Linked DNA regions of Pelodiscus sinensis. The protein of the gene in region 2 interacts with the protein of the main gene of each other region in a biochemical or structural test. Links are inferred from orthologs where the notes say so. Each region holds a gene or a part of one and is shown on either strand. Other genes may lie near its edges. The genes, in order: TRIB1 and CEBPA.

Region 1 (9,021 bases), on a different chromosome or scaffold from region 2:
CAAATAGTAAATATTTTTGGTCATATGCAAAACCACTGCATAAGCATTTAAAATTTCTGCCAGTTTCCCAGCTACATAAAAACTGTAGGTAGAAATAATAGTAAAGCTACTTTTAAAGACACATTTTCAAAACAAGCAAACAAAGCAGTCTCTGCAATTCGTGCCTCTATATCCATCCATTTGCATGTCTAACGATCAGATTTCAGCTCATAATCAGGTAGTTACTGGTACAAGGGTGCATCTGCACAGCAACATTATTTCAAAATAACTAGCATTATTTCCAAATAACTTAGTCCGCATCTACACAGCAGGCAGGTATTTTGAAATAATGTTGAAATACTGTCAAGCTGGAAGACTTCTTACTCTGAATCCTGTAACCCTCAATGTACGAGGAGTAAGGGAAGTTGGAGGAAGAGTGCTGTAGTTCAAAATAGGTGCTGTGTAGACTCCCCGAATTTCGAAATAAGCTATGCAATTGACCTAGCTCAATTTGTGTAGCTTATTTCAAGTTAAGGCCTGCTGTGTAGATGAACCCGAAGTGTTTAATCTTACACCTGCACATTCATTGTGAGGGCAGGGGTGCTGGAGCAATTTTTAAAGCAGGAGTGCTGAGAGTCAGTGAAACAAATTGTAAACCCTGTATCATACTGCATGGAATGCCACAGTGATATGAGGAACAAATACTGTAAAACCTAATTTAATGCATGGCCATAGATATTACCATCACTTCAAATGCCTAGCTGCCTGCATGGTAGGAATGTGAAAGGAGAGCCATGCCAAACTGCATGTCTTACTGGTAGATTATATCTGAACTGCATGCAAAGCCACAGTGCATACACTGTTGCTAGGTAACACAGCAGAATCCTATGCAATGCAGTTCCGGAGCTTTATACTTGCAAGATTAGTTTGTACAGCGGAGAGTGTCAATGCAAGAGATGATTCCAAGGTGTAATGGGGATGGTCTTATGGTAAGGGCAGTGTCCAGTGGTTTAGGAGATCCAGATACAGTTTATAGTTGTGCTGCCTACAGCCTTGCTGCATGTATTTGGGCAAGTCACAAGTCACTTGATCTCTCTGCACCCCCATTACAATGATATTAGTGACATTGTTCTGTCTCACCAGAGTTTTGTGAGGATGAATCCATTGCTGTTTGAACAGCTTTCACTTGGACACACAAATACATGCAATACTGAACTGTGACAGATGTCAGCCTCTGGCAATGCCCAGCTGCATGCACTGCTGCTTTATGACAAGGTATTGCATTCTCTGCTGGAGTAGGACACAAGGCAATATGCACTTCTGCAAGGTGACATAGAGTTACATGCACCCCTGCACACACACCACAAGTCCTGCTGGAGGGTGACACAGAGCTGCATACATCCTTCTCCCCCTTCTCCACTGCATATACTGCTGGAATATGGCACAAAGGAGCCACATCCCCCCCATACACACTACACATACACACTACATATATTGCTGAAATATGACACAACAGAGGTCCATGCATTGCACACCCTCTACACACCCCATGCACTGCTGAAGGGTGACACAGAACTGCATGCACATTGGAGTATACCAGAGGTCCAGGCATTTTTCCCCCACCAAAGACATACACCATATATGCTGCTGAAGGGTGTCAGAGAGCTGCATACACCTCCTTCTCCCACCCCACTGCATGCTGCTGCTTATGAGTTAATGGTATGGGCCACCGTACTACGCAACTTTTAATATCCCTACTGCATACATTGCCCCCCCCCCGCCCGCACACACTGCATACACTGCTGGAGTATAACAAAGTTCCATACATCCCGCCCCCCCTTCCCCGCACACACTGCATACACTGCTGGAGTATAACAAAGGTCCATGCATCCCCCCCCTCTCCCCGCACACACTGCATACACTGCTGGAGTATAACAAAGGTCCATGCATCCCCCCCTCTCCCCGCACACACTGCATACACTGCTGGAGTATAACAAAGGTCCATGCATCCCCCCAATCTCCCCGCACACACTGCATACACTGCTGGAGTATAACAAAGGTCCATGCATCCCCCCCTCTCCCCGCACACACTGCATACACTGCTGGAGTTTAACAAAGGTCCATGCATCCCCCCCCTCTCCCCGCACACACTGCATACACTGCTGGAGTATAACAAAGGTCCATGCATCCCCCCCTCCCCGCACATACTGCATACACTGCTGGAGTATAACAAAGGTCCATGCATCCCCCCCTCCCCGCACATACTGCATACACTGCTGGAGTATAACAGAGATCCAAGCATCCCCCCCTCTCCCCACACACACTGCATACACTGCTGGAGTATAACAAAGGTCCATGCATCCCCCCCCCTCTCCCCGCACACACTGCATACACTGCTGGAGTATAACAAAGGTCCATGCATCCCCCCCCTCTCCCCGCACACACTGCATACACTGCTGGAGTATAACAAAGGTCCATGCATCCCCCCCTCCCCGCACACACTGCATACACTGCTGGAGTATAACAGAGATCCAAGCATCCCCCCCTCTCCCCACACACACTGCATACACTGCTGGAGTATAACAAAGGTCCATGCATCCCCCCCTCCCCGCACACACTGCATACACTGCTGGAGTATAACAGAGATCCAAGCATCCCCCCCTCTCCCCACACACACTGCATACACTGCTGGAGTATAACAAAGGTCCATGCATCCCCCCCTCCCCGCACACACTGCATACACTGCTGGAGTATAACAGAGATCCAAGCATCCCCCCCTCTCCCCACACACACTGCATACACTGCTGGAGTATAACAAAGGTCCATGCATCCCCCCCTCCCCGCACACACTGCATACACTGCTGGAGTATAACAGAGATCCAAGCATCCCCCCCTCTCCCCACACACACTGCATACACTGCTGGAGTATAACAAAGGTCCATGCATCCCCCCCCTCCCCGCACACACTGCATACACTGCTGGAGTATAACAAAGGTCCATGCATCCCCCCCCTCTCCCCGCACACACTGCATACACTGCTGGAGTATAACAAAGGTCCATGCACTGCTGGAGTATAACAGAGATCCAAGCACTGCCCCCCCTGCATGGCCTGCTGATGGATGACACCGAGCTGCATGCCCCCCCCCCCCCGCGGCATTCGCTGCTGTCTGGGTGACACACGAGAGCCGCTTTCGCCCATCCCAGTCTTCCTCAGTCATCCCCGGTGTCCTGAATGAGGCGGGCGCGCCAATGAGAGCGGGCCTCGCTCCTTTGGCCCCTGCCCACTTCCCCTTGCGTCAAGGGAACTTTTAAGCTCCTCGGCGCTTGGCAGCGGCTGTGGAAAAAAGCCCCAGGCTGCGGCTCGGCGCGCGGTGCCCGGGTGCAGGGGGTGGGGAGACCGGGTTGGTGGGGAGAAAGGAAGGGAGTAGGGGGGGGGGGGGCTGTGCTCTGCTCGCCATTGCACAACCCTGCCCCGCCGACAGATAACCTGCGCGTGAGCGTGCGGGGTGACTCACGCCGGGAGGGCACAGCCCGGGCTGGCTGCTCGCTCGCTCACACACTCGCCGAGCAGGAGGCGAGAGGCACCGACTCGCTCCGCAGCCCCGGCCGCCTTGGAGACCCAGCCGCGCCCCCTGCCGCAGGGACCCGCTGGGCGCCCGCCGCCCCCGGCCGGGGAGAGCTCCTGCCCGGCCGCGCTCCGTCTCTGCCCCGCCGGCGCGCTCCGTCTCCATGAGCCGCAAGACGCAGCCTCGCAGCCCGGGACTGCTGCTGCCGGCCGCCCGCTGCCGGGGCGCCCCCTCCAAGCGCCTGCTGCTGCAGCCGGACGGCGCCGGGGAGGACGCGCCCGCGCCCAAGTGCCCCCGGCTCTCCGAGTGCCCCAGCAGCCCCGCGGACTGTCTCAGCGCGCCGGGCTCGCCCTGCGCCCCCGCCTCTCCGGGCAGCGCCCCGAGCCCCAGCCTCATCGCCGGCTACCTGCTGCTGCCCCTGGCCGACAGGGAGCATGTGTCCCGGGCGCTCAACATCCACACGGGTCAGGAGCTGCGCTGCAAGGTAAGCGCCAGCTGCCGGCCGCGGCGGGGTCAGCCTAAGGGGAGTGGGGCTTGGAGCCCGGTTACTGCTCCCTCGCCCAGACCAGCGCTGCAGCCTTTGGGATGCGCCCCCCCCCCCCCCCCCCAGTGCTGGAACTGGGGTGCGCCTCTTGGCTTGAAGCGGTTTCCACCAGAGCCAAGGTTTACAGGTGGATAAGGAGTCCTGTGGCACCTTATTTGGGCATAAGCTTTGGTGGGTAAAAACCCGCTTGGTCAGGCTGGTTCCGTGCCTCTCAGCAGCCCCACAATACAGATTGTTCCAGCATCCCTGCCTGTGTGCTCCCATTGATCCCTGCCAGCCACAGAGCTTGGGCAGCTGGGCTGGGAGGGAAAGGGGGTCAGTGGCTAGGGACCTGGGTGCCGTTCTGATGACTTTTGCATGGGGGTCTGCTGGTGAGAAAAGTTAGATCTGCTCTCTGCCGACACTGCCTAGATTCCACACTGGGGTGTTACCAGACTCCCCGTCTGAGCTCATTGGATTCCCAGTGACTGTTGCTATAGTTAGCTTTGAAGAGGACTGTGGCTTGTAAGGGGAGGAATAAAAATACCAGGAGCAGACGCACATTGGAAACAGTCAAGTCTTCCAAGCAAATGCTCTAGCTTAAAACAAAGGGCCAAACTGAGCTCCATCAGCAACAGCTCCCGCCCTGTCTCCTACTGTCAGTGACACACAATAGAACAGTTCCTGATTAGCCCTGCTTGCAGAGTTTTCCATGAGATGTCAGCAATGCTTTTAAAGAACACACTTATGCTTGTCTGGTCTGTTGGACCTATTTCTGAATGGGCTGGTTGCTGACTCTGAGTTTACTGCTGCCACCTGCTGCCTGCCTCTAATGAGATAAGGAGTGTTTTCTAATCCTTTCTTGGCAGATGGGCCTAAAGGCATGTTTCGAACTGAAAATAAAGTGGGGAGGGGGAGGTATTAATGATTGTAATACTGGGTATGAAGGAAGTGAAATTGAAATTGTAAGCTGTGCCTCCAAGTTTCTCCGTGGAGATATCAGATTAATAGAAATGATGACATTCCCTGTGTGTCACTGATTCCAGTCAGGCCTAGGATGTGAGTAACTCTAACAAAGCTTAACAGCTCACCAAGAGAACACTGTCGGATCCTTACAAAACATCCGTCTGCCTGTCATTCCCTGAATTAAACATCTGTGGGTTTCATCCTTTTGCCTAATGCAGCTTGCGTACCGAGACTTACAGTGTGACCACAATCACTGGTGTGTGAAACCTCGGAGTAACTGAAAGGCAAAATCATCAGTAGTTCTTAAACATTTCTTCTCCATCAGATTACTAATAGCTGAATATTTTTGGAAAGTGTTTCAGTGGCAGGTTTGAACATAATTTATCTTGAGGGCTGGCCTCCATCCAGTTGTCTCAGCATTGTCCCTGGAAATTTGTTGTATAGTACACAAGCTTTAGCACCCCTAGTAATGGAGGGATTTTTTTTAAATTTTGTCTTTACAGGTGTTCCCTCTCAAACACTACCAGGACAAAATTCGACCTTATATTCAGCTGCCGTCTCATAAAAATATTACTGGGGTAGTAGAAGTGATTCTGGGGGACACCAGGGCCTACGTCTTCCTTGAGAAGGACTTTGGGGACATGCACTCCTATGTGAGGAGCTGCAAAAGGCTGCGAGAAGAGGAGGCTGCCAAGCTGTTCAAGCAGATTGTCTCAGCCGTAGCTCACTGCCACCAGTCGGCCATTGTGCTGGGTGACCTCAAGCTCAGGAAATTTGTCTTTTCTACTGAAGAAAGGTGAGTTGTGCTGAATGAGTGGTCTTCGTGGAGGTGGAGAGGAGGAATAGCCCTTCCTGAATAGATTTCTCCTCTAGTTAATCAAGGTTCTATAAAATCTTCAGCGCAAACTAGGGGAAAGGCATTTTCTTTGGGGGAGAGGGGGACACACTGTAGATAAGTGAAATAAGGTTCTAAACCCGCTGTCCTCTGCAACTTGTCCTGTACACCACTTGGGGTGAGGTGTAGGGGTGTGTGTCTGTATCCCTAACATGTCATGGCTCTGATCTGTAAATATTAATTTTTCCTTGGAGCTTGAGTGTACGTGTACTTACCTAGCATAAATTCCTTTCTTATTCAGCAGCTGCTCCGATTAAACTGTTTGGTGTACAAACAGATAACGATTTGAGAACTTCCTAGATCTAGATGTCAAAAATGCAATGCATTTGAACATCAGATTCAAAGTGAAATGAGAAAAAAGCAGGAAATGAAATGAAGCTGGGACATTATATAACAAAGGGGAAACAACTTTGATTTAAAAACAAAGGTGTAAAGAATCCAGGCTGCCATGCTGTAACTGGATTTTTGCAGGTGAATTCTTATCTTTTTGCAAATATCCACTGAACTCAGTGCTAGTGTAGTTGGAGTCTGTGTTATTCAAAGTTACACTTACAGTGAAAGTAGAAGCATTTCTCTCTCCTCCTTTACAGAGTTCAGCCTTCATATTTAAGATCTAAGTGCCACATGTCTGGTGTGCTTGTATATGGTCATAGACATCCCTTCCCCTCGCAGAAAGAAATGAATGAATTAAATAGAGTAAATGTTGCAACTTGAAGGAGAACCCAAATGTTAAATGAGCTACTTGTGGTATGGACAGACACACACTGTCTCTAATCAATTTTAGCCCTAAGTATAGGTTTTGTAAAAGTTAGATTTACAAGATCTAGGTCAGTAGAACTATGCCTGATTTAAAAAAAATTATTCAGACAAGAAAAAAGTATGTAAACAAACATTTCTGTGCAATGTTTCCTGTCCTTGAGTTGCAGCATAGTGCAATTCAAAACCTGAAAGGTAATATTCTGAACAAAACTGAAAGTAACTAGTTTATTATTCTAGTAAAAACTGCAGAGAGTCAATACCATTTCACCATGGGGACATTTTTTAAATTCTTTCACTAGTAATAGCTAAGATCATAAAACAAGGAAATTCACTTTTTAAAATAATTTTAACTTGGACAATATTGCTGAGTTAACTTATTAATGTATGAAGCAAGGTAGTTGTTCCAATGCTTCCTTTTTTTTTTTCTAAGTAGAAAAATATATATTACCCTACAAAAAAGCTCCCCTGAAGGAAACTTTTGCAGTTTTTCCAACCAGTCATGATAAGATGCAGCCATTGCTGGAATATAAAATCACACACAGTCTTTCTAATTTGGAAATATGCATTGTACAGGCTAGTATCTTATGCATCAGATTTGGTAACATGAGGGTTAAGCAGTGTAAGGCAGACTCTCTTAGTCTAAGAAGAACAGGTGCAGTGTTTTAGTGCTACAGCAGCCAATCAGAGGCCAACAGCATAGGCTGAGTCATATTTTCCGTTTACAGAACCAATGGGTATTTTACATTACGGTAGGAAGTCACATTGAGGACATGCTGCAGTTAATGTATTTACGCACCATTAAGCTGTAAGGCAGAATAAAGCCGTTCAAGAGCAGAGGAAGGGCCCCTCATCTAATGTAAAACCTTTCTACTTTCCCTGTGCAATTAGGAATTAGGATGAGCCTGTCCCTGCAGAAGAGATGGCCATTGCAGCATGACATGGAATATCATTTGGGGGGAAAATATAAATGAGCAGGAGGGTTAATCACCACTGTATGTGCAAAAGAAATTCGGACTTTGAGATTTTAAAAAGCATGCTGCTGTATGTGCAGTCTCATTGATAAACAGGAGACAGTCATTAAATTAACCAAGCACAGTTCCAGTACGATCTGGGTAGAATGGCACTTAGGGGTATTCCTTGATTGTGGAATTTGGACAATGTATGGGCTATAAATAACATTATTTTCCATAATATGTAGTATTGTGTAACATTGAAACTGTAGCCTTACCTTTGTTGCAATCGTATCGGATCTATCCTAGCACTCAGTTTCTCTGTTAAATGTTCACAACTAAGTTTTTTCCCCCCTCCCTTTGGTCACGGTACTGCGGTTGGGGCTGTATGAAGTTATTTTTGTGCTCATTATTAAAACAGTTTTGTAACATGTACATCTGTTTTTCTGTTCCTCAGGACTCAGCTGAGACTAGAGAGCCTAGAGGACACTCACATCATCAAGGGGGAAGATGATGCTCTATCAGATAAACATGGCTGCCCAGCATATGTCAGTCCTGAGATCTTAAACACAACAGGGACCTACTCTGGAAAATCAGCTGATGTTTGGAGTTTAGGAGTAATGCTGTATACCCTCCTCGTAGGACGCTATCCCTTCCATGACTCAGACCCTAGTACTCTGTTTTCTAAAATCCGCCGGGGACAGTTCTGTATTCCTGATCACGTCTCTCCGAAAGCCAGATGTCTCATTCGCAGTCTACTGAGACGGGAGCCCTCCGAAAGACTAACTGCTCCAGAGATCTTGCTTCATCCTTGGTTTGAAGCAGTTTTGGAACCGGGATACGTAGACCAGGATATAGGAACTTCTGATCAAATTGTTCCAGAACATCATGGAGACAATGATGATATTAGTTCCTTCTTCTGTTAATCCTGAAATCTCCAAGAACCTCCTACAGTTCTCGCACATGGCATCTTTTTAGGTTTTCATTTTTCCACGTTACAAATGACAGCATTCTAAAGTGTAACTATAATCAGAAAAGCGACTGTTTAAAAAACAAACAAGCAAGGCAGGCAACGACTTATACCGTGGATCCAGAGTCGTCTCTGCTTATTCTGCTGGCAAGTTCTTACTATTAATGCTGCAGGGCCAATACAGTTGTGGAAGAGCCAGCTGGAATCTGCTCTGCCTCGTGCATCATCATCAACAGCCCAATTGCCGGGTGATCTTTGATTGCAGAATCTTATTACTGGTGATGTAAGACAGATAGACAGAAACTAAGCCTCCCAGTTTTCCCCATAGGTATTAAGTGGAATGTGTAACCCTGACAGTGAAAAGTCTAAATGGGAGAAGACCAAATCTGACATGGAAATTAGTAAAAGGAATC
Region 2 (9,021 bases):
TACAATGACAAAGCTTGAGCCATCCAACCATTCCTCCATTAAAAGAGACAAAGATTCTTTTATCACTTTCCAGGTCACCTTGTTTTGCTTATAAGAAGCACACTGGATCTTTTTCAGGGTAAAATCAATACACTGTGTTTATTGAAAATACAACATGAAAATCACAGAGGTGCTGCAGATAGCATGATAATTACCAGTCTGTTACAGTGGCCAGTTAGAATCAGGTTAATACAGGGGTCTCCAGTTTCTGCATGATGTCACTGATGATAAACTAGTGTCTACCTCATCTACAAAATCAGAGAGGCACATGGTCCTAAGAAAGACCACTCCTGCTGGAAAGAAAACCATATGCAGAAAAAGAGGAAACACTCCTTATTTCCAGAAGTTTAGTATTTTGAAGTCATAAGGGTTTATTGAATTTTAGGTATTTCAATTTACAGCATTGCACAGAATTAACATTTTGGATGTGCTTTGGGGTACTTTATTCTGATACTCTGATTTTTACCTCATTTCCTGCAAAGGCAGGTCGATTTTTGACAGATTTAAAGCTTGTGACACGTTTTTCCTGAGCTGAAGAGGTTTTGTTTGTTTTGTTTTTTATTTTCCTGGGAGTGGGTTCCTTTCTGCCCGCCCCCAGCCGGTATTGTAGAACGGCCTCCCAATGGCAGGAGAGCCCCCAACACAAGCCCATCGCCTCGCTCCCTTCCTTGATCCAAACTTTCTCACTCCCCTTCTCTTCTTCACGTCGGGACAAGCAGCACCAGCGGCACATTTCTGTATCCCCTTCGCCCAGCTCTGCTGACCCGGTCGCCGCGTGGGGGAGCGGAGCACGGGGCACCGCGTGCAGATGTGCTGGCCGCACCTCGCGTGGGGGCTGCGCGTGCTCCTGCCTCTGTACGTGGCTGCGGCGGGAGGGGAGATCGCCTCGCCTGCTGCTTTTTAACGACAAGGGGGCAGATTAAGGGGCGGGGGAGGGGTCAATGAAAGCTCCATGTCCCGGGCAACCATCATCGGCTTCCCCCTCCGCTCGGTGCGCAGTCTGGGCCGGGGACATGCGGCCCTGAGCGGAGGGTCCCTGCTCTGCTCTCCCCCGCAGAGAGCCGCGCAAGGCCACACCCCCCTGCACCTGTCCCCGGCGCCACTGGCAGCAGCTCGCCCTCCCCTCTCCCGCAGCAAAGTGCCAGGGACACCCCCACCCTGGCGCCCGGAGCAAGGAGGGGGCGGCAGAGCGCACCCCAGACTAGGCGCGGGGGCGCTGGGCCCTATCACCAAAAGGCGCGGCCGCCACCCCCTCCTCGGGCAGGGCCTGGGCCTGCGCACAGCGGGACCGGCCCGGCAAAGTGTGTCTCGGCCCAGGGGGAGCGGAGCGCGCGCCGCCTATTGGAGCCGTGCCGGGGACTTGGCTCTGGTCCTACGCCGGGACCCGCCGGAGCCTCCCGCGGTCGGTCTGTTCCGGGCGACTCTGCGCGGGAACGAGCTGGCGCGGGGCTGGAGACTGCAGGATTCCCCCCCCCCCCCGCCCCCCGGCGCTGAGCTGGACTGGCTGGTGCGCGGGGACCCGGCTTTTCTTGCAGGCTCCCAGCTGGGCGGGCCCCCTGCGCGCCTCCATCTCTCAGGTGCAGGCGCCCCGCGAGCCTCTTCCATGCGAGCTCTGCCCCTTCGAAGCAGCCCTGCCGGGCGGAACCGCTGCAGTAGCTGCGAGGTTGTAACATGGGGCCACGCTCCCTCCCCCGCTTCCCAGAATCAAAAGGGGGGAGGCGGCCCGGCGAGCTCTTCCTGCCCCGCAGGTCGGTGTCCAGGCACCACGAAGTCTCTGACGGGCTCGGGGGTGGACTTTGTCTCACCCGCCCGCAAGGGCATCTGGGGGCAAACTCACTCCCCTCTGGCAGCCGGGCCGCGCTGTCCCCGTGTGACGCGAGGACCAGGCCTGTGGCGCGTAGACGCTGACGAACAACTCGCCCTCCGAATACCCCCGGCCCCGATCCTGCTCGCGCAAAGCGCCTGGGTTAGCAGGGCCGAGCCCTCCAGGTGCGGAGGAAAGAAGGGACGGGCGGGAGCGAGCCTGCCCATTTGGTGAAACTTAAGTGTCCCCATTGCTGTCCTCTCCCCGGCCCACGTATCTCCAGGGGCCATTCTGGGTCACCGAGCGTTGCGAGTTCTCCTGAGCGGGCCCCGCCACCTCGCTGCCTCATTCTGCAGCCTCTCCACACTGGCCACATCTCAGGCCCCGGTTTCAAGGTTATTTTTAGCGAACCCATAGAGGTCAAAGGACACAGGCAGGAGGAATTACCCAGGCTGTGCAGGTTGGAGCTGCACTCGGACCCGTATGTTTTTGCATTTCTTAAATGGTTGTCTTTGAGCACGCAACTAGATCTGACTAGAGCCCAGGCCTGTCTCCCTAGGAACTCCAGACTCGCTGCTGAAGAGGGGCACGGGGTGACAACCAGCAAAGAAGTGCTTTTAAATCCCACCCATGGTTCTCCCACCCATGCACCAAATATACCAGTTTTCTCCGGGCAGAACAGAACGCCTTTAATATGGTTGTTTTGAACGAAGCAGGAGAAATACCCCCAGATCCTCAACTGTTACTAACCCACAAGAGCTGTCAGTTCAGTGGCAAGGCATCCCAACGGGGCAGGTCATTTTGCTTTGCTAGGGAAAAAATAATCAGAAGTAGTACTGCTCTTACAACAATGGCAACTGGTTTTCTTATGTTCTTCAGCACAGTAATTTAAAGTGTTAAGCATATGAGAAGGGGTGACCACAGTGGCCCGCTGTAATAGACCCATTACAGTTTGGACATCGTTTTGTTTAAAAAAAGTGTATATCACTCACTACACAAAATTAAAACGACCAGATCTGGGAGTGATTAATGCACATTTTAAATCGTAATCAGCGATTACACTGCCACCCACGTGAAATAAATGTATTTATTTCTCTGGAGCTAAATGGTTATTATAAGTGCAAGGTATACATTCAAATTACCATGCATAGCAGGGTGCACGTGGAAGGAGGAGAGGGGAACAGATTCATATTTCAGTAGAAGGGAAACATTTTGCTTCAGGTGCAGCCCCCGGGAGGGGGGGGGGGAGGAAAAAACAAGGAGATAATTATGGTAGAATATATATTGTTTATTTATGAATGTAACCAGAATTGACAAACTTTATATGCAGGATTTTTTTCAATTCATAATTCACCATGGTATGTGTGTATAGAGATGATTAGAAAGATATCGCTATAGATATCTATACACACACACACATACCTACAAGCACACACGCGCACACACACACACCCATGCAAGCAACATAGCTTTCCAGATCTCACACTTGCAAACATTAACTTTCCTTCACCTTGCACTTTTCTCCAATTACTCATATGAGAAATTCATACACACATTATAAAGAAAAGCACCGGCTGGTTAAAAGTGCTGGCTAGCAGGGGGAATTGGTTGCTGTTTCCTTCTCCCTTGGGAGGATCCAAAGAATCTACACAGCTGCAGTTAACTAGCAGCATCTTCTTTCCCCCAAGGGGGAAGAAAACCCAGAGAGTGGATGTGACCTAGCCCTCCCTTCCAAGGTAATCAAATCCCAGGCACCCAGGAGGTGCAGACTTTAGGGTTATTAGGAGGCAGCTTGCCCCCTCAGGAAGCTATAACCAAAAATGCTGCAACATAAGGGTTATCTCTCTGCCACCAGATAAGGAAATTGTGATGGCAAAGATGGAAGCAATACAATACAATAAACTGTGGCCACTATACACAGAAAGGCATCACATTACATGAGGCACAGCTTGGAGAGAGAAGACAGGTTCGGTGAGGTGCTTAATATCCCTCGAAGAAAGCAAAATACATTGAAAGTTCGTAGTGAATACCCGCATCGATAGGCATGTATTGGTATGTGCTTCGCCATGTCACGACATACAGTACAGGCATTGCTGCTCTTCGTTTTGGTTGAAGGAGAAAATGAAGGACTCCTTAGCTAGGTGCTGTTCCCTTTCAGTCTTGGGGTCCCCTCTAACACTGAGGGGGAGGGGCAATCTATGCGTTGCCCCCACGGTCCAGCAAACCTTGCCTTCACCTAACAAGAGACTCATCTGAAGGCACCAGGGGCGGAGTCTTGCTTGCACTCGGCTTTCCCTGACACCTAACACAGCAGGTATATTGTCTCCCAAGTAATGTCTCACCCACGCCCCCCCCCATCACTCCCCAGGGAGGAAGACATACACCTCTCCCCAGCCAGGACCAATTAAGCCCCAAACCCACCAAGAGCGCACGACCCCTACCCGTCTGCTCACGCCCCTGTCGGGCTGACGGAAACAGCCCACAGAGCTTTGGAACCCAACTTGTAAGGCACAGCGTGGGGGGTCGCTACCCTGTAGCCACGTGGGCGCGTTCTGGTTCGTTGCAAAGCACAATCTTTTCAGCTTATTCGTGTCGTTCCTAAGGCACGGACCGTGTCATACTACAGCTGCCTGGATTCTTTTATTTGTCATTCAGAATTAAAAGCCAAACTCCCCCCAGGAGAGCCGCTGCTCTCGACCCCCGCAGGGATCTGAATAGGGCCCCGAGAGTTGGCAAAAGGCCGGGCGGGTTTGGAGAGGCGCGGGAGGCGAGGCCAGGGCGTCTCACGCGCAGTTGCCCATGGCCTTGACCAAGGAGCTCTCGGGCAGCTGTCTGAAGATGCCCCTGAGTGTCTCCAGCTCCCTGGTGAGCTGCTCCACCCGCTTGCGCAGCCGGTCATTGTCACTGGTGAGTTCCATCACCTTCTGCTGCGTCTCCGCGTTGCGCTGCTTGGCCTTGTCCCGGCTCTTGCGCACCGCGATGTTGTTGCGCTCCCGGCGCACCCGGTACTCGCTGCTGTTCTTGTCCACGGACTTTTTCGTTTTGCCCCGATGATCCCCGGGAAGCATCTTGAGGGAGCCGGCGGCGGGCAGGCTGTTCGGGTGGTGCGGGTGGTGAGGGCTGGGCACGGGGGTGGGGGGCGGCGTGGGGTGCCCGGGCTGGAGGTGCATGGTGGTCTGCGCGCAGTGGGCGATCTGGTACTGGAGATGGGACGGGTGCTGCTGCTGGGGGAGGTGAGGGTACAGGGAAGCCAGAGCCGTCTGCTTGCACTCCGCCTCTTCCCTGGGCTCCTGCTTAATCACCAGGGGCCGCAAGCCGGGGACAGCGATGCGCTCGTACAGGGGGTCCAGCTTGCTGTCCGTGTAGCTGGCCATGCAGCTGAAGAGCGACTGCTGGTGGTGGTGCTGCGGCGGCGTCTGGTGCTCCTGCCCCAAGGCGGCCGCGCCGGCCCCGGGCATGCTGTGGAAGTCGAAGTCCCCGGCCAGGACGGCTTTGGCTTTCTCCTGCTGCTTGCTGTGCTGGAAGAGGTCGGCCAGGAACTCGTCGTTGAAGGCGGCCGGGTCGATGTAGGCGCTGATGTCGATGGAATTCTCGTTCTCGCAGATGTCGCTCAGCTCCGCTCCTCCCGCAGCAGGTGTCGCCGCCGAGGGAGCTTCTCTGTAGCTGTAGGCGCTGCCGGGCTGGGGCGTCTGGAGGTGGCTGCTGCTGCTCATCGGCGGCCGGGGCTCGACCTCGTAGAAGTTGGCTTGCTCCATGGAGTAGCTAAACTCTACCAGGCATGGTGAACGGCACCTGGAATCCAGGGTTCGGAGAGGGCGAAGTGGACCCAGGCGGCTGGATGAAGCTCTCGGAGCCTCGGGACGTCCTGGCACCAAACAGCCCCCGCGGCTGTGCCTATCGGGGGGGTAAGCTGCGAGCCGCTCAGACTTCCCCTCTCACTCGAATCAACTTGTGCTACTTCTTCCCCTGCACTCAGCGATCCCTCCCACCGGCGTGTCCGAGTTCCTCCCTCCTACCCGTCACTTACTAATAGCTTGGCTGGAGCTTATGCCTGCTATATATACACTCCCGGCAGGGCTGGGGATCGCCCTCTAGTGTCCAATCTCCTGCTGGGAACCTTTGACCACAACGCCACTCTGCCAATTTTGCTGGGTCTTAGCGCCCGCGGGACACGTCCCAGACTTCCTCACGTTGTTACAGTGACAAGCCACTAGGCAGAGATAAGCACAGCTCAGGGTCCAGCCAGCGTATTGGAGCGCGGTATTAGTATGCAATGCTGACAACGAGAAGGAATCATTTTCTCCCCTGCAACCGGGTGGGCAGCAAGCTCGGACGGAGTATGCAAGTGGCAGAATGCAACAAGTGTTCCCCCACCCTCTCCCTTCCAAAGACTTGGAAATAACCAGGCGGGAGAAGAATGCCGGGTCTAAACCTTCTGGGAAAGTTAAGCATCTGGTTGCATTGCTCAGAAGCCCCGTGGCACGTGTGTGGCAGTCCCAGGTACTCTGAGCCCCGCCTTCTGAGCTCAGGAGGGAAAGAAGCAAAGTGGCCAAAATACATCAGCGCATTTCCATCATTCACTGCGATCGTGGGTCTTTGCTTTTCTACAGAACCGACCCATTAAATCCAGTGAAGAGCCTGGCCCTCCTCTGTTTTACACATACCAGCTGGACAGTGTTTGCCTAAGTATCAGAGACTTTTTTAAGCAACTCGTTGTTCCTTGAACTAGGCGGCCCGTTACCGTGCGGGTGCGCTGGGAGTTTCAGAAGCAGCTGAGTTTTAACAAGTTCTCAGCAGCGTGGTTTGCACGTGAGACGACCCCCAGTGCATGCGCTCCCTTGCGGATTACAGGCTCAAACCCGGTACCCTCCATACCTAACCAGGGGCCGTGACACACAGGCACTTGTCCCAGACCTAAGAGTAAGAGTCTGTAGTTAAACCTAAAGTCACCCCTTCGGGCACTAGGACCCAGTGGAAAAGCCGTATCAGTCGCCTCTTATCTGGTTGGCTAGAGGCGGAGCCCTTAGGGAAGAAGGGGCTGAAATTCTGCTTCTCTCTGCAGACTGCAGCTGGCCAAGGGAGCCTGCTTTGGCTCAGCTCAGAAAGGATTTTTTTTTAGTGCAAGGCACAAAAAAGCTCCCGTGTTCAAGTAACTCCCTGCGAAGGAGCCTGCAGAGAAGACCTGTAGCTGTAGGCAAAGGCTTAGGAGGGATTAAAGTGGCTGAGTTGCACAGAAGGGTTGCAATGGGCCAGAGTTATCTTTACAGCGTACAAAGTTCGGTGTGCGGCATAGCTGCGTCTCACGCCTGATAACATCACTCAAGCCAGACGTCTGTGATCCTTCTGCTTCATTACGCCGGGGCATTGATTAGCTGTCACATTTATTATGGGCCCGGCAGAATTTGGGTGGAAAAGCAGAAATGCGCCAAACCAGGCCCGCTCCACTGACTCCAAGCCAGTTTACCCAAGCAGTAGCCCCAGTAGTGCTCTGAGGGGTGGTCTCTCCAGCACACGCAGTGGCACAACCGGCTCCTCCGGAGTCTGGCTCACCTCCATGGGAGAGTCTTCTGGGTGTGCATGGGGAGGGGAGCCGAAGCTCCGGCCCCTTGCCAGCCCCAGCGCTTCCCCGTGCCTGGGGGCGAATGACACGGCCAGGCCTACTTTCGCAATAGACAGTCGGCGATAAAGGCACGGGCCCTATCTGTCCAAATGGGCAGCCAGCCGGGAGATAACCAGGATGGCTGATTTCCGAAATGCAAACACAACAATCTCGGGTTGCATCGCGCCTGACCCAGCTCTCAGTCTCCCTCCCATCAGCTTCTGGGCTGCCCCGTGCCAGGGGGACTGGGACAATTTGTCGGGGGGGGGGGGGGTGTTGGGGGGGAAGGAAGAGGGGCTAAGAGCCACTGAAATACTGTACATCCTGTAAAGAATGGAAACCACTTCAAGTCAGGGGGTGCTGCAGCATCCCCCTCCGCTTCTAGTCCCAGCACCTGTGCCTCTAGCCTGGGCCTGGTAACTATGGCTCAGGGCTGGGCAGAGACTAGAATTTGCCCAGCATCTTTCTGTGCCCACAGTTGGCTGTTTCCTTCATGCTGGCCCAGCAGGTGTCACCAGGGTGCAGTTCCCCCCATGATGGATTTGAGAGAGGACACACATTTCCAGAGCTGCCCTTAGGGGGCCCTATGCACAGAGGTGAAAGTAAGTGGGTGCGCCCTGGTGCTCAGTTCTGCAAAAACTGTCTGAGCTGTGGCAAAAGCCAGTAGGGAGCTATTTAAAGAGCTGGCAGGGATCCAGGGTGCAATAGGACAGTACCTATAAGAAATGTGAGTTACATTCACCCCTGCCTCCACAGTACCGTTAAACTGATGCCCCTATGCCCGATGGTAACTGGGAGGGGGGGAGAGGATGAGATGGTGATTTTTTAGAGATGTAATTTTATAATCTTCAGCAACACACTAATGAATTTTTTAAAAACAAAATTTTAAATTAAGGTACTGTAAACTAACACAGTAAATTCAGAAACTGACAGCATATAGGTGAGGTTGGAAAATGCCTGTTAAATGGCTTCACTACCACTTGAATGGCTCTCTCATGGCTTCCATGTTCTGCTAAAAGGTCTGGCAGGCCTTGTTACTTTTAAGTTAACTAGAACCTCTCTTAGGGTTGCCAGGTGTCCAGTATTGACCCGGACAGTTTGGTATTTTTGCCTCCTGTCCAGTAAAAAAATTCAGAAAATGCTGGACACCTGAAATGTCCAGTATTTTCTGTTTTTTTCCCCTGCCAGGAGACGAAAATACCAGACACCTGGCAACCCTAAGACACACTCGGCTACTGGGCCCAGCCCCTGCCCCCTCCAGGGCCCGCAGACCCCGCCTCCAGACCCTCTGCTTACCTGGGGGGGGAGGGAGTGCTCGATCAAGAAAACAAGATGGCCACGGGCAAAAAGACCTGAAGCAAGGGGAAGCAATGTCTTCCCTAGGTCTTAGTGCTCAACCGCTCCGCTCTCAAACGTAAAGGGGCCATGCTGTTTTATTTTATTTATTTTAGTTGCTTAATAACTTTTGGGGTCTTATAGACTCATAGACTTTAAGGTCAGAAGGGACCATTATGATCATCTAGTCTGACCCCCTGCACAGCGCAGGCCACAGAATCTCACCCACCCCTCCCAGAATAAT

The links.
Region 1: the proteins of CEBPA (region 2) and TRIB1 form a complex in vitro, tested with the Homo sapiens proteins (2 studies listed by BioGRID and IntAct, with this or other methods). The link is inferred for Pelodiscus sinensis from reciprocal best matches to the Homo sapiens genes CEBPA and TRIB1.

Annotation. Positions count from the first base shown.
Region 1 is NC_134712.1:18,398,813-18,407,833, reverse strand, and holds the start of TRIB1 (tribbles homolog 1), read left to right. Parts: upstream 1-3,330; 5' UTR 3,331-3,708; coding exon 3,709-4,029; intron 4,030-5,537; coding exon 5,538-5,830; intron 5,831-8,095; coding exon 8,096-8,564; 3' UTR 8,565-9,021. UniProt on the Homo sapiens protein: Adapter protein involved in protein degradation by interacting with COP1 ubiquitin ligase. The COP1-binding motif is masked by autoinhibitory interactions with the protein kinase domain.
Region 2 is NC_134722.1:21,991,875-22,000,895, reverse strand, and holds CEBPA (CCAAT/enhancer-binding protein alpha), read right to left. Parts: upstream 5,889-9,021; 5' UTR 5,599-5,888; coding exon 4,627-5,598; 3' UTR 3,111-4,626; downstream 1-3,110. UniProt on the Homo sapiens protein: Transcription factor that coordinates proliferation arrest and the differentiation of myeloid progenitors, adipocytes, hepatocytes, and cells of the lung and the placenta.